Arabidopsis thaliana: one gene and its partner. The protein of the gene in region 2 interacts with the protein of the main gene of each other region in a pairwise test. Each region holds a gene or a part of one and is shown on either strand. Other genes may lie near its edges. The genes, in order: RK3 and PUB45.

What was found.
Region 1: the proteins of PUB45 (region 2) and RK3 interact in a two-hybrid assay, tested with the Arabidopsis thaliana proteins (one study listed by BioGRID).

What each region holds. Positions count from the first base shown.
Region 1 is NC_003075.7:11,388,283-11,394,814, reverse strand, and holds RK3 (receptor kinase 3), read left to right. Parts: upstream 1-1,588; 5' UTR 1,589-1,724; coding exon 1,725-3,021; intron 3,022-3,902; coding exon 3,903-4,037; intron 4,038-4,126; coding exon 4,127-4,320; intron 4,321-4,398; coding exon 4,399-4,609; coding exon of another isoform or gene 4,610-4,614; exon of another isoform or gene 4,615-4,700; coding exon 4,701-4,938; intron 4,939-5,034; coding exon 5,035-5,185; intron 5,186-5,269; coding exon 5,270-5,596; 3' UTR 5,597-5,988; downstream 5,989-6,532. Other genes in the region: B120 (S-locus lectin protein kinase family protein), read left to right, coding at 40-357. UniProt on the Arabidopsis thaliana protein: Involved in the regulation of cellular expansion and differentiation.
Region 2 is NC_003070.9:9,720,199-9,726,645, forward strand, and holds PUB45 (plant U-box 45), read right to left. Parts: upstream 4,603-6,447; 5' UTR 4,233-4,602; intron 3,840-4,232; 5' UTR 3,778-3,839; coding exon 3,727-3,777; intron 3,466-3,726; coding exon 3,280-3,465; intron 3,187-3,279; coding exon 3,079-3,186; intron 2,941-3,078; coding exon 1,784-2,940; intron 1,569-1,783; coding exon 764-1,568; 3' UTR 535-763; downstream 1-534. Other genes in the region: AT1G27900 (RNA helicase family protein), read right to left, coding at 1-148. UniProt on the Arabidopsis thaliana protein: Functions as an E3 ubiquitin ligase.

The DNA of each region.
Region 1 (6,532 bases), on a different chromosome or scaffold from region 2:
TAAATGGTCTAATTAGTGGTGGAAACTGAATGCTTGCAGGCTTGGTATTTGTATACTCATGGGAGATCAGAGGAGCTTGTGGATCCTAAGATCAGGGTCACATGCAGTAAGCGAGAGGCCTTGAGATGCATACACGTAGCGATGCTATGTGTTCAAGATTCGGCTGCGGAGAGACCCAACATGGCTTCAGTTTTGCTTATGTTAGAGAGTGACACAGCGACGCTCGCTGCGCCTAGACAACCAACGTTTACTTCCACCAGAAGAAACTCCATTGATGTCAACTTTGCTCTTGATTCGAGCCAACAATACATCGTTTCTTCTAATGAGATCACTTCAACGGTTGTTCTTGGACGATAAGATTCTTTTGTTTGTTCTTTTGTAAAGTTTTTTTTTATATAATTGTTGTGAAAACGTATAATATTTTTTGGTTAATTAGGATAATGGAGTAATGGTTGTTGAAACTTGAAATTTTGTTCATAAAGTGAAACATTACAAATGGGGTTTTATTACAGTATGATGTTGATATTTTGAAAAAATCACCACACTATTCTTTTTCAAAAATATCACAATGGATCAATTTACAAGTATAAACAAATGAAAACAGATAAAATATCAAAAAGCATTTATCTGAAATAAATCTTCAAATAAATCGTTTATACTATAACAAAGGTGGTAGTCTTAAAATATTTAGGTTAGTTTTGAAATGAGGATCATAATAATTGTTTTTCATTCTATTAAATATAGGTGAGTTGTTTCAAATATTGTAGGATTATTGTGTTTAATTTAATTAAAATGTGATTGATTTTTATGTATAGAGTTATTATATATAAATCAAACGAGGAACGAAGAATTATGAGGATGTTCAAAAATAAGACTTTTGGAGCGTTGACTATGGTAATTAGTACTGTTTTGATGGTGAAAAGAGTATTCGGTCTTCGTATTTCATACTTATATAATATACCTAAAACCGTGTTAACATAAATTTTCCTCTCCTCCAAGCTCCAAAGCCAAAAATCGTCAAACAAAATGCATAGGACAACATTATATTTGGTGATGAATAATTCAAATGTAGACTCATTATTAAATTGAATGGAATGATGAATTATTTAGAGTTAGAGAAAAAAAGAAAAAGTCAGGAAAACGTGAAACGACCCCTTTCTTTTTTGTCTTCGGAGAATGCGGAAATAAATTAAAGTAGGGTTTGTTTGATGAATACTAACATTGAAGTTCTTATTGGGAAGGATAAAAAAAAAATTGAGTTATTTATTACGAAAAAGAACACTGAAATTTATATAACTCTCGAAGCATGCATACAAAAGGTTGACTGATAATAAAATACGAAAAAGCAATATATTAAGTAATTTATTAAAAAAAATGGTCATCAATAATATCATATTTTGAAGAAAAATTCTGAATTTATGAAGTAAAAATGACTATTGGAAAAGGAAAGAAAGCCTGACAAAAAAAAAGAAGAAGAAGACTTTTTATTTGCTAGGTCAACTATGAATTGGACTGTACACATAGTACATAACTAGATATTTTTTCCAAATGCGAACAAGAAGACCAAGAAAAGAAAAAAAGCAAGGTAATATATTATTGACAGAAATAAAATCGGTTACGTAAGGTTCACACATTACACAAAACATGTCCGATATCTCCAATGGAAATAAACTCTCATACTTTTCTCAAGAAAGAGTGAAAAACAAAAAACTTGGTTTAGAGAAATGAGAGGTTTACCAAATTTCTACCATTCTTACACCTTCTTCTTCTTCTTCCTCTTAATTCTGTTCCCTGCTTACTCTATCTCTGCCAACACTTTGTCGGCTTCAGAATCTCTAACTATCTCAAGCAATAACACCATTGTGTCTCCTGGTAATGTCTTCGAGCTTGGTTTCTTCAAACCCGGTTTAGATTCTCGTTGGTATCTTGGAATTTGGTACAAGGCAATCTCTAAGAGAACCTACGTATGGGTTGCAAACAGAGACACTCCTCTCTCTAGTTCCATCGGAACTCTCAAAATCTCCGACAGTAATCTTGTCGTTTTGGATCAGTCCGATACACCGGTTTGGTCGACGAATCTGACCGGAGGAGATGTGAGATCTCCATTGGTGGCAGAGCTTCTTGATAATGGTAATTTTGTGCTCAGAGACTCCAAGAACAGCGCTCCAGATGGAGTTTTGTGGCAGAGTTTTGATTTTCCGACAGATACTTTACTTCCGGAGATGAAACTTGGCTGGGATGCCAAAACCGGGTTCAACAGATTCATTAGATCATGGAAATCTCCAGATGATCCATCAAGTGGAGATTTCTCGTTCAAACTCGAAACCGAAGGCTTCCCTGAGATTTTTCTATGGAACAGAGAATCACGAATGTACCGGAGTGGTCCATGGAATGGAATCCGGTTTAGTGGTGTACCGGAGATGCAACCATTTGAATACATGGTTTTCAATTTCACTACGAGTAAAGAAGAAGTGACTTACTCATTTAGAATCACTAAAAGCGACGTTTACTCGAGATTAAGCATAAGCTCCTCAGGATTGTTACAAAGATTCACTTGGATTGAGACAGCACAGAATTGGAACCAATTCTGGTACGCACCAAAAGACCAATGTGATGAGTACAAAGAGTGTGGTGTTTACGGTTATTGCGACTCGAACACTTCACCTGTTTGTAATTGTATTAAAGGGTTTAAGCCGAGGAATCCTCAAGTGTGGGGATTGAGAGACGGGTCGGATGGTTGCGTGAGGAAGACGCTACTGAGCTGTGGTGGCGGAGATGGGTTTGTGCGGTTGAAGAAAATGAAATTGCCGGATACTACCACGGCTAGTGTGGACAGAGGAATTGGTGTGAAAGAATGTGAACAGAAGTGTTTAAGAGATTGTAATTGCACGGCGTTTGCGAATACGGATATCCGGGGTAGCGGGTCGGGTTGTGTGACTTGGACCGGAGAGCTTTTTGATATCAGGAATTATGCCAAAGGTGGTCAAGATCTTTACGTTAGATTGGCTGCTACTGATCTCGGTTAGTTCATTCTCCACTATCTCTATTAGACTAAATGACATATGTTTGGTTTTCATTTTCCACATATTTACTTTTGCTAAGTAACGGTTGATAATAGTCTTCAAGATCACTTTTCAAAACATGTAAACAGTTTTATACATACTAGAAACTAAAAAGACATCATAAAAGATTTTGTCAGTAAGACTAAAAATTGATGCTAAAACTGCCCAATCAAGTTATTGAGTAATCCTATCACATTATACTAAAGATTTTCTTAAACGACAAAAGGAAGAAACGTTTTTTAAGGGTTTCAAGAATAGTAATTAACTTGGTTGTTAGATAAAGCACTTTTTTTTTGGGGTAGAATGTGAGAATGGTGTTGAATAGTGCAAGTCAATGTTATATTGTTGTTGGTTAACGAATTTGGAATTTAACAAAACGTTTTTCAGTTTTATTTTCCCTCTTTTCAAACTTCTTAAACTTGATTGAGATGTTGACGCATTCGGTCTTGGCATTATATGTGAAAACTCTTGTGATAAAGAACTAAGGTCCAATGGACTTTTAATCTTCTTAAAAGATGCAACGCATGAGTGAAACTTTTGATTACTACTATATTCTTCACAAAAACTTATCAATCTCAAGAATAATATGGTAAGGTAGATCCAAAGCCAAAAGAAATTATTTTTAGGTAGACCAATCTTTATGTTTTGTTTTTATTGGCGATAACAGTATAACGCTGTTTTTTGTTTGTTGGCGTTTATCTTTAATCAAAAGTACGACAATGTTTATTATTTTGTTAAATCATAAGACTAATACTAGTTTGTTTTATAAAATGATATTCATTTCCATGGTCGAGGTCCTAAATGTTGTGCTCAATTTGACATCTCTTTTCATTATTTCAGAGGACAAAAGAAACAGAAGTGCAAAAATCATAGGTTCGAGTATTGGAGTGAGCGTTTTGCTTCTTTTAAGTTTCATTATCTTCTTCTTGTGGAAAAGGAAGCAGAAGCGATCAATACTAATCGAAACACCTATTGGTATATCTGTAAATTTTAATTCCTTTCTTTTTGTTTGTAAATTTCTTAAAACTAATATCTTTACTGTTTTTGGTGTCTGTATGTAACAGTTGATCATCAACTGAGAAGCCGAGATTTGCTAATGAACGAAGTTGTAATATCAAGTAGGAGACACATATCTAGAGAAAACAATACAGACGATCTCGAATTGCCATTGATGGAGTTTGAAGAAGTTGCCATGGCCACAAACAATTTTTCTAACGCCAACAAGCTAGGACAAGGTGGTTTTGGTATAGTTTATAAGGTAAAAATGATTGAAAACTTAATTCATAATCTATCGCTGGACAAATATTTCGTTGTGTAACAAAATTAAGGGTTACAGGGAAAGTTACTTGATGGTCAAGAAATGGCAGTGAAGAGACTATCAAAGACATCAGTTCAGGGGACTGATGAGTTCAAGAATGAGGTAAAGTTGATTGCAAGGCTTCAGCACATAAACCTTGTTAGGCTTCTTGCATGTTGCGTCGATGCGGGTGAGAAGATGTTGATTTACGAGTACTTGGAAAATCTAAGCCTCGACTCTCATCTATTTGGTTAGTGTCTCAACTCCTTACAACTCTGTTCTAACAATTTTTCAATGTCTTTAAAAATAATGTACTCAATCCAGTGATGATTCATTAGCAGACAAATCCCGAAACTCTAAGCTAAATTGGCAAATGAGATTTGATATCATCAATGGTATTGCTCGAGGACTTCTATATCTTCACCAAGATTCACGGTTTAGAATTATCCATAGAGACTTGAAAGCAAGTAACATCTTGCTTGATAAATATATGACTCCAAAGATCTCGGATTTCGGAATGGCTAGGATCTTTGGACGGGATGAGACAGAAGCTAATACGAGGAAGGTGGTTGGAACCTAGTAAGCAATCATTCTCCAAAATATTAAAAATCTTTGTTTGAAATCTGAATTAAAAAAAAATAACTCAAAACTTTGAGTCTAATCTTCGTTATTCAGCGGTTATATGTCTCCTGAATATGCAATGGACGGGATATTCTCGATGAAGTCAGATGTTTTCAGTTTTGGGGTCTTGCTTCTTGAGATTATAAGTAGCAAGAGGAACAAAGGATTCTACAATTCGGACCGTGACCTTAACCTTCTCGGTTGTGTAAGTTAAAAACCTCTCAAACTTGATCTTGTTTTACACTCAAAATAATGATAACACTAGAAAAATTTCGATCATTATACACAGGTGTGGAGGAATTGGAAAGAAGGAAAAGGGCTAGAGATCATAGATCCAATCATCACAGATTCTTCATCAACATTCAGGCAACATGAAATCTTAAGATGCATACAAATTGGCCTCTTGTGTGTTCAAGAACGTGCAGAGGACAGACCAACTATGTCCTTGGTAATTTTGATGCTCGGAAGCGAATCAACAACTATTCCTCAACCTAAAGCGCCCGGTTATTGCCTGGAGAGAAGTCTTCTTGACACTGATTCTTCGTCGAGTAAACAGCGCGACGATGAATCATGGACAGTGAACCAAATTACTGTCTCGGTCCTTGATGCTCGGTAATGTGACTGTCAACTAGCCAATCTTCTATACTAAGATGACTAAATTGAGCGACAATAAGAATCAACTAGGAAAGATGGTATTAGTTATGTGCATAGTATTTTCTCTGTACGTCTCCGTTGCAAAGGTTACTACATGATTCAATTGTCTTAATTAAGCATGTATTCTGTAATTGCTTTATGGATAACCCAAATAGTCCTGCAGTTATAGGACATCAATGTGATATTTTGAAAGATTCTCAGACTTTCATATTATAAATTATGGCTACTAGAAGAGGCAAATATTGTTGGTTAGTAGAATTTCGGGTTGTACGTTTTGAGATTAGGTTTGTACATGTTGTAATAGATTTTTTTTTTAATAAGTACATACGTTATAAGAATTTTTTATGATCAGCAACACCTATTTCCATCGCTAACCATGGCCAAAATCCGGTGGATTTAATTTATGGGCTTTAGGAAGATCATGGGGGTATAGTGGATTTTTTGTTTTTAACTGATGACAGAGTAAATCCTTCATGGTTCCTTCATTTTAAGGTGATTTCAAATTTTCCTTCATTTCAAGGTGATTTCAATGTTTGTAGAGGCTTGATTAAAATTGTTTTAGATCATAAGGATTTTTGTGCATCAAAAGTGTTCGCAATTTCAATGTTTGGAGAGGCTTGATTAAAATTGTTTTAGATCATAAGGATTTTTATGCATCAAAAGTGTTCTGTCAAAATTCCTTAATTAACCTTTGATGAGTAGCTCGTCCTTTAATAATGATAGTTGATATACAGAATTGTGATTTATGAGCACATTAATATTGACATGAATGCTTGCTAATTTAAATTTTAAATGAGAGTTTAGAAATTTAGAATATTTAGCATAGATAATTAATTTCTTGAGAGATGATTTTTTTTGGTCGGGTTCTTGAGAGATGATTAGTGTTATATATTCGTGA
Region 2 (6,447 bases):
CGGACTTTGTGTAACCATGTCGATGAAGTATCTGAGAGAGCTGAGTACTCTTCCCAGAACCGGTTTCTCCAATTATAACTACCACTGAATTCTTCTCCACTGTTTCCACGATCTTCTCTTCAAATTGAAGGATCGGAAGGTTCGCCATATCGCAGAGAAACACTCAAAGAACCTATCAAGTTCAGCAATCGATCGACGAAAGGAAACTGTAACCTGCAAGTTCTGCTTAGGTTCAGTCTAAAATCTCTGTACAACGAAATTCATTCTCCGACGAACGACGCGATAGATTCACAATACAGAACCCTAATCGCTCACCAACACTTCGAGAAATCTCAAATCAACAACACATTTTTCCTAAACCTTTTCCGTTCAAAATCTTCTCTGTATATTATATGAAAATCGAAAAATAGAAAATAAAGCGAGAAAAATCAAGCAAGCCACAAGTGTACTTAAGACCCTCTCCTTTGTTCAGCGGCTCTTGGTCTTATCTTTTATGAATTTCGTATCTCGTCCTTTAATTTATGACAAAGTTGCTTTCAGAGTAAAAATATTTCTCATTAGTAGTTATAAAACCTACACCCAACAAGTACATTGTAATTTGACAATTTGTATAACCAGAACCCAAAAATCCTTGGATATAAACTACATACCTATACAAGCTTCTTTTCTCTTTACCTCCAAGACTTTCAAAAAGAGATATAAGTCTTGAGATGGGGAAAACAAAGTACAACTTTACATCAACTAAAGGTAATAAAGACATGACTCAACACTGGTAAACTGAGAAGCTCTTACTTTTCCATAGAAAGCTGAATGCTCTTCCCATTTTCTTTCTCGAGGCTGATTTACACTGCGGTTTTGTCTCTGTTACAGCGGCTGAAGCAACAGAGAATCCGTCCTCGGGGCTTGTGACTTCTGTATGCTGCGGTTCTGTGAGATGGGTTTGATCCCTTTGCCTCAGTTCCCTGAATAGTGTCAGTAGCTTCTGTGCCCTTTCTCTTCCACGTTGAGTACCGTTTACGGAGATAGATACCAAAGAAGGTATCACTCCTTCTTGTAAAACCATCTCGCTACAGATCTCACTGTGATTGCATAATATCAGAAGCAAAGAAACAGCTTGTTCTTGCTCATTTGGTTCACCCGTGTCAAGAATGGTGCAGAGATTGCTCACAAGGCTAGGTGCTGAAACCATCTCGTCTTTTCCTGCCTCGTTCAATACCAAATTAAGTAGAACAGCTAAGGACTTTTCTGTCCACCGTTGCTCATCACTGATAGTGAGTGATTGAAGGGCGTTGACAAGGTCAGCAGATAAAAGGCAGGGGATATTGGGAGGGTAGGTGGACAGGTGAAAAAGGGAGTGAAGGGCATCGACTTTGCACTGGACTTCAGTCTCGGTCCAAAGAAGATTTACCATGAAAGGAACTGCCAGACTCGAACCTATTACGGGCTTTGCTTCTTCAAGACACGAGAGGTTCAGATAAATTGCCGTCACTGAACCATGGGAATGTGGATTACAGAGCATTTCCTCCAGCAAAGGAATAATTCCTGATGCTAGCATCAACTCTTTGTTCCTGAAATTCCCAAAAAATTACAACGGAAATGAGATATAATCTTCCAGTTGGCAAGATAAGAATAACCCACTTGATTTTGTTGTTGAAAACTTGAAATCTTAGCCCATCTATAGTTTTGCAATATTCTCAAGATAACCGAATGTGTTAGTAGACTAATTTAAGTTAGGTGCTTGATCATTGAGAGAGAGAAAACGAGACATCGTTTGCTCACATACCTGTTGTTGTCCACAGCCAAGTTAAAGAGAGCCATGGCTCCAACTTTTTGGGCTGAAGCGTTATTTTCATTCAGAGCTGATCCCAGAAACTGAAGCAACGCTTCAACACACCCATTTTCCCCCATGAGAATCCTGGCCTCCTCATCATCTTTTAGCAATACTCTTATCTGCTCAACAACTCTGCATTTCTTTCTTAAGGTATCCACGTCAGTTAAAGTGGTCAACAATTCCGTACATCTTTCAACAAGAGTAACTTGATCTTCCTGGTATTCTGATTCACAGGCTTCCTCTTTAATGGTTCCACTTTCTTCCAAAGGAACCACCTTCACATCCTTCAACTTACAAGAACCAACACGTTTTGCTGATCTCGTATCGGTGGACTCGGACACAGACAACGCCAACCTCCAATAGTTAAGGTCTAGAGACTCAGGGGGTCCATCAGGGACCTGAACGCCGTTCTGTTCACACCAGCTAGAAATTAGAGCCTTGACACAGTAGTTAGGAGTCAAGCAAAGATGAGAGAGCTGCTGGTGAGTTTTGGGACATGTGTTGTGTCCATCACTAAACCATTTCTCAATACAGATTCTCTCATATGTTTGCCCAGACGCGATAATGACAGGGTCATACATAAGCTGCAAAGATATCGGACACCTCAATTCTTCTGGCGGAACAGACATCTGCGAAGATCTCCTATTGTTATTGCAGGATCTGAAGTTAAAGGAACTCAGTTTTGACAGCTGACGGTCAAAAGCACGACCATGGGCATCGTCTATAGAACCCTGGATAGTAGGTGAACAAGGCAATGAACTACTACCCTGTGAATCATTGTCATCCCAGATCTCACTTCTGAATAGCTTTGAGTATTTCCTCATGAGATGTAATAAATAAGCCACAATTGATTCTTTCCTCTTGTCATCCTCCATTCGGGCCCTCTCAATGAGTTTCTTGAGGCATCTTCGCTCTGTGAGAGCTGCTCTAGAAGAAGTGATACCTAGTCTAGTAGCAGCCTGATGGAAAACCTCAAGTTCATTATTATCAGATGAGCTCTCAAAATTCCCCCCTTGTTGCAGCAATCCAATGATTTGATCGCCAATTTCCTTCTCTGCTGGATCAAGTGAAAACTCGGTGTTCTCTAACTCCATCAAAATCTCCAAAAGCTGCAAAGTAGGATATACAGGTTAAAATAAAAGCACTGAACTCTAGAGATATTGCTTCTCTGCTTTAACTTTCCATTCACTTGCTGTGAGAGAAGAAAACAAGAGTACCAAGATACGGGAACACGAAGAACTAACTACCTGAGATCCAATAGACTGTTGGACTATATCTTCAACACGCCTAAGGCTATCTGTAAGAGATGATTTCGCCTTCTCAAATTTCAAAACTACTGAATCCCCTGTTATAGCCTACATGTCAAACCAGCTAGTTAGCGAGAATCTCCACAAGAAGAACTGGATTAGTTCTGAAATCTTTAAGACATAACTAAACAGAAAACTTACCAAATAAAGTTTACTAGATTCAGTGCAATGGCGTAGAATGTTCTTCACTTTTTCTAAAACCACGTGAAGTGAACACAAAGCTTGAATTCCAGATTTGCTTCTCGGCCTAGCAGCTTCAAGCGACGGGAAAATAGACATGATCTTGCAGTAGATCACTGAAAGGGCATTGCACATTTTTCCGTGTAGCTGAAACAGGAATCAGTTAGCCAATGCCTTACACTTACAGCAATAGGTAACACGTATTTAAAAACCACAGGACCAAGAATCTGTTAGACATATTTTATTGTACATCACAGGATCAATCGAGCAAAATCAAGAACCAGAAGAGAGTATTAATTGAAACAAAGACGGATACATATAGACATCAAGTTACAGGACCAAGAATTTAATGTCTTAGGGAGATATCTCAACAAAAACATTATTGGAAAAAAGGTCTGATTAAGATACCTTGGCATCACCAGGGGCAAAGAAATTTTCTTCAACCTCATTAACATCCATTGCTTCAATAACTCGCTGTATATATCTATGACAACAACTCTATATCGGCTTAAAGTTCAATACTACAAGAAGAAAAAGAACCGAATCAGTGACAAGTTGACAAATAAACTAATCTATAGCAGACAAGCCAGATAGATCAGTGTTTCCTAAAAAATGCAATGTGTTCTGCACAGAGAAAGTATATAAGAACAGAGCAAAGAATACGAAAAAGCAACAAAAGGTGGTTAGTTGGGGCATTTCAACAAACAAATTAGATGCAAAATCATGAGAATACCAAAACCCCAAATATCAACAAAGGAAGATTCTTGTTTGTCAAGAAACAGAGGGAATCAGAACACAAGAACAAAAATAAAAAACCCATAAAAGCAATCTGATTAATTCCTCCAGCAAATACCCAGATAAACAAAAAAAAATCCATTTTTTGAATCGGGTGAAAAACAGAGGAACATACGTACCAAAAAAATGAACCTATAATCTGCATCTGGTAGGTGTAGACTTAATAAAGAGAAGTCGATCACAAAATCAAAAGAAGAGCATCAGAGGCATTAGTATAATGATTAATTTGTTCCTTGGAGATGCTGTTTCTGGGTAGTTTCTACGAGGGTCTCTGATTTACAAGTTTCCGAGCTAATCAAGGCAAAATTTGTCGATCCCAACAATAAGAGAGAAGAGAGGTTTGGCTATGGCTGATACCGAATGGAGATTTTTTGAAGGAAAATAAAAATAAATATTTTAGTGAAAGAAAAAAAGAGGAGAAGTTCTTCTCAAGTCAAAATAAAGCCAAAACTTGCGAGTGGCAATTGCAAGGTCGCAAGTACACACAACAGATTTGTTTTGTTTTGTTTTTAATTATGTTCTTTGTAAGAAAAAAGATTCTGTTATTTGTTTAATCATTAATCAACTCAATTAATTTTTCAAATGATTTTTAAGTATTACTAGATTTGAATTTAGCAACGGTATTATTAGGAGACATTTTAATTATTAAGAAAAAAGCTTCTTAAGATACTCATAATTTCGATTTCTTGGATGCGATAAAAACATATCATTATGGTGTTGCCCGTTTAAAGTCAAAATGCAATGTAGTTTAGTGAATCAAATTTTGTTCTGTTTTGTTTCCAAGTCTTCTTCAATTGAAACTGAAACTGTTGATCATTATTTACCAAAAAACATTTCATTCTAATATTGGATTTTCGGCTTGTATACTATATAGTTTCTTTTTTGGTCGACTGATAGTTGAAAATGAGTAATAAAATAGATACAATGATGTAGAATAAAAAGCTTTTTGACATTTTTTTTTTACTAATCATATAAATAAAAATAAATAAAGTATGGCGAAGGGGCAATGAGAGGTCCAATTTTCACCGACATTTCATATTGTAATAAACACGTCTTTCATATTATATTCTTTATCGAAAAAAAAAAACTGCATCGTGTTTTCTTCCTGTAAACCAACTAGGTTCACCTTCATTGACTAGGACTTGTGGGCCAGTGGTCTTAGTCCATTGGTTGTCTCTCTGTCACCGGGTTCGAGTGGACTCGGTTGATGTAAGAAGTTTATCGTCAGCCATATTTTCTTAGCATGTGTACTGTGTACTGTTGACAAATGACAATGCATTCGATGTCAAAAAAAAGGCTACATATTGTAGTAAATAGTAATATTGTCTTCCTTTTTTAATTACCGAATGTTCTAGGAATTATAATTTAAAAATAAACCAAAATGATGGTCATTGGTTTAATTTTGAAATGTTGGTAAAAAGAATTAGTTAAATATGAATAAATCGACTCTGATTTGTAGTCATTTTATATTATTTTGAATTGAACTTTAAATCTATAGTACTGAAACACTAATGTTTGAATTTGTGTAGAGGGAGAGTTGAAAGAGATTTGCCGACTTCGACGGCCGACACGCGCCGACAATACATGCATATGTCGGCTATTTAGATCTCTACATTGAATATCCTAAATTACAATAATACCTTCTCCCTTACTAATATTCTTTGAATCAACCTTTATTATTTTTTGTTTTTTATGTTTTTTTCAGAAATTATTTGTTGGCAACCATGTTCGCTTTTTTTTTGAATTATTATATCCCAAAATTTATAATGATTTAGACATTATTTTCCAGTTTTGCCATAAAATATTAAATTAATCCACAGATAATATTTAAAAACTTTTAAAGGTTAACATTGTCGTTTTTTTTTTAAAGGTTAACATTGTCCTTTTTTTTTGTAAATATAAATGAACTATCGCCTATTAGCAACAAAAAAGTTGAGTTTGGTCTGAGAATCGTTTAGAACTTTTGGTTTGTTGGATCGTACATATATAGGACTGCAAATTTATTACTATTTGTTAATTAGTTGAGGCTCTCCTCTTCTTATTTATTTATGAGACGTACCAAATAAGTCATTATAAAGTGTACTAACGTCCGGAAATTTGTCCACGAGTAACAATTTAAACCTCAGATGTGGTCAATGAAAAATACAAGAATTTTAAAACGACGGCTAAAATAATATAAATTTTGTAAGGACATATTGATCTATCACTGATACTAAAACAGAGGAATTAGTTTTAATGATAATGAGCATATGCAAATCTATCACTGATACAAAAAAAAAACAGAGGAATTTTAAGGGGGGGGGGGGGGAAATTCAGAAAGAACTTGATAACCAA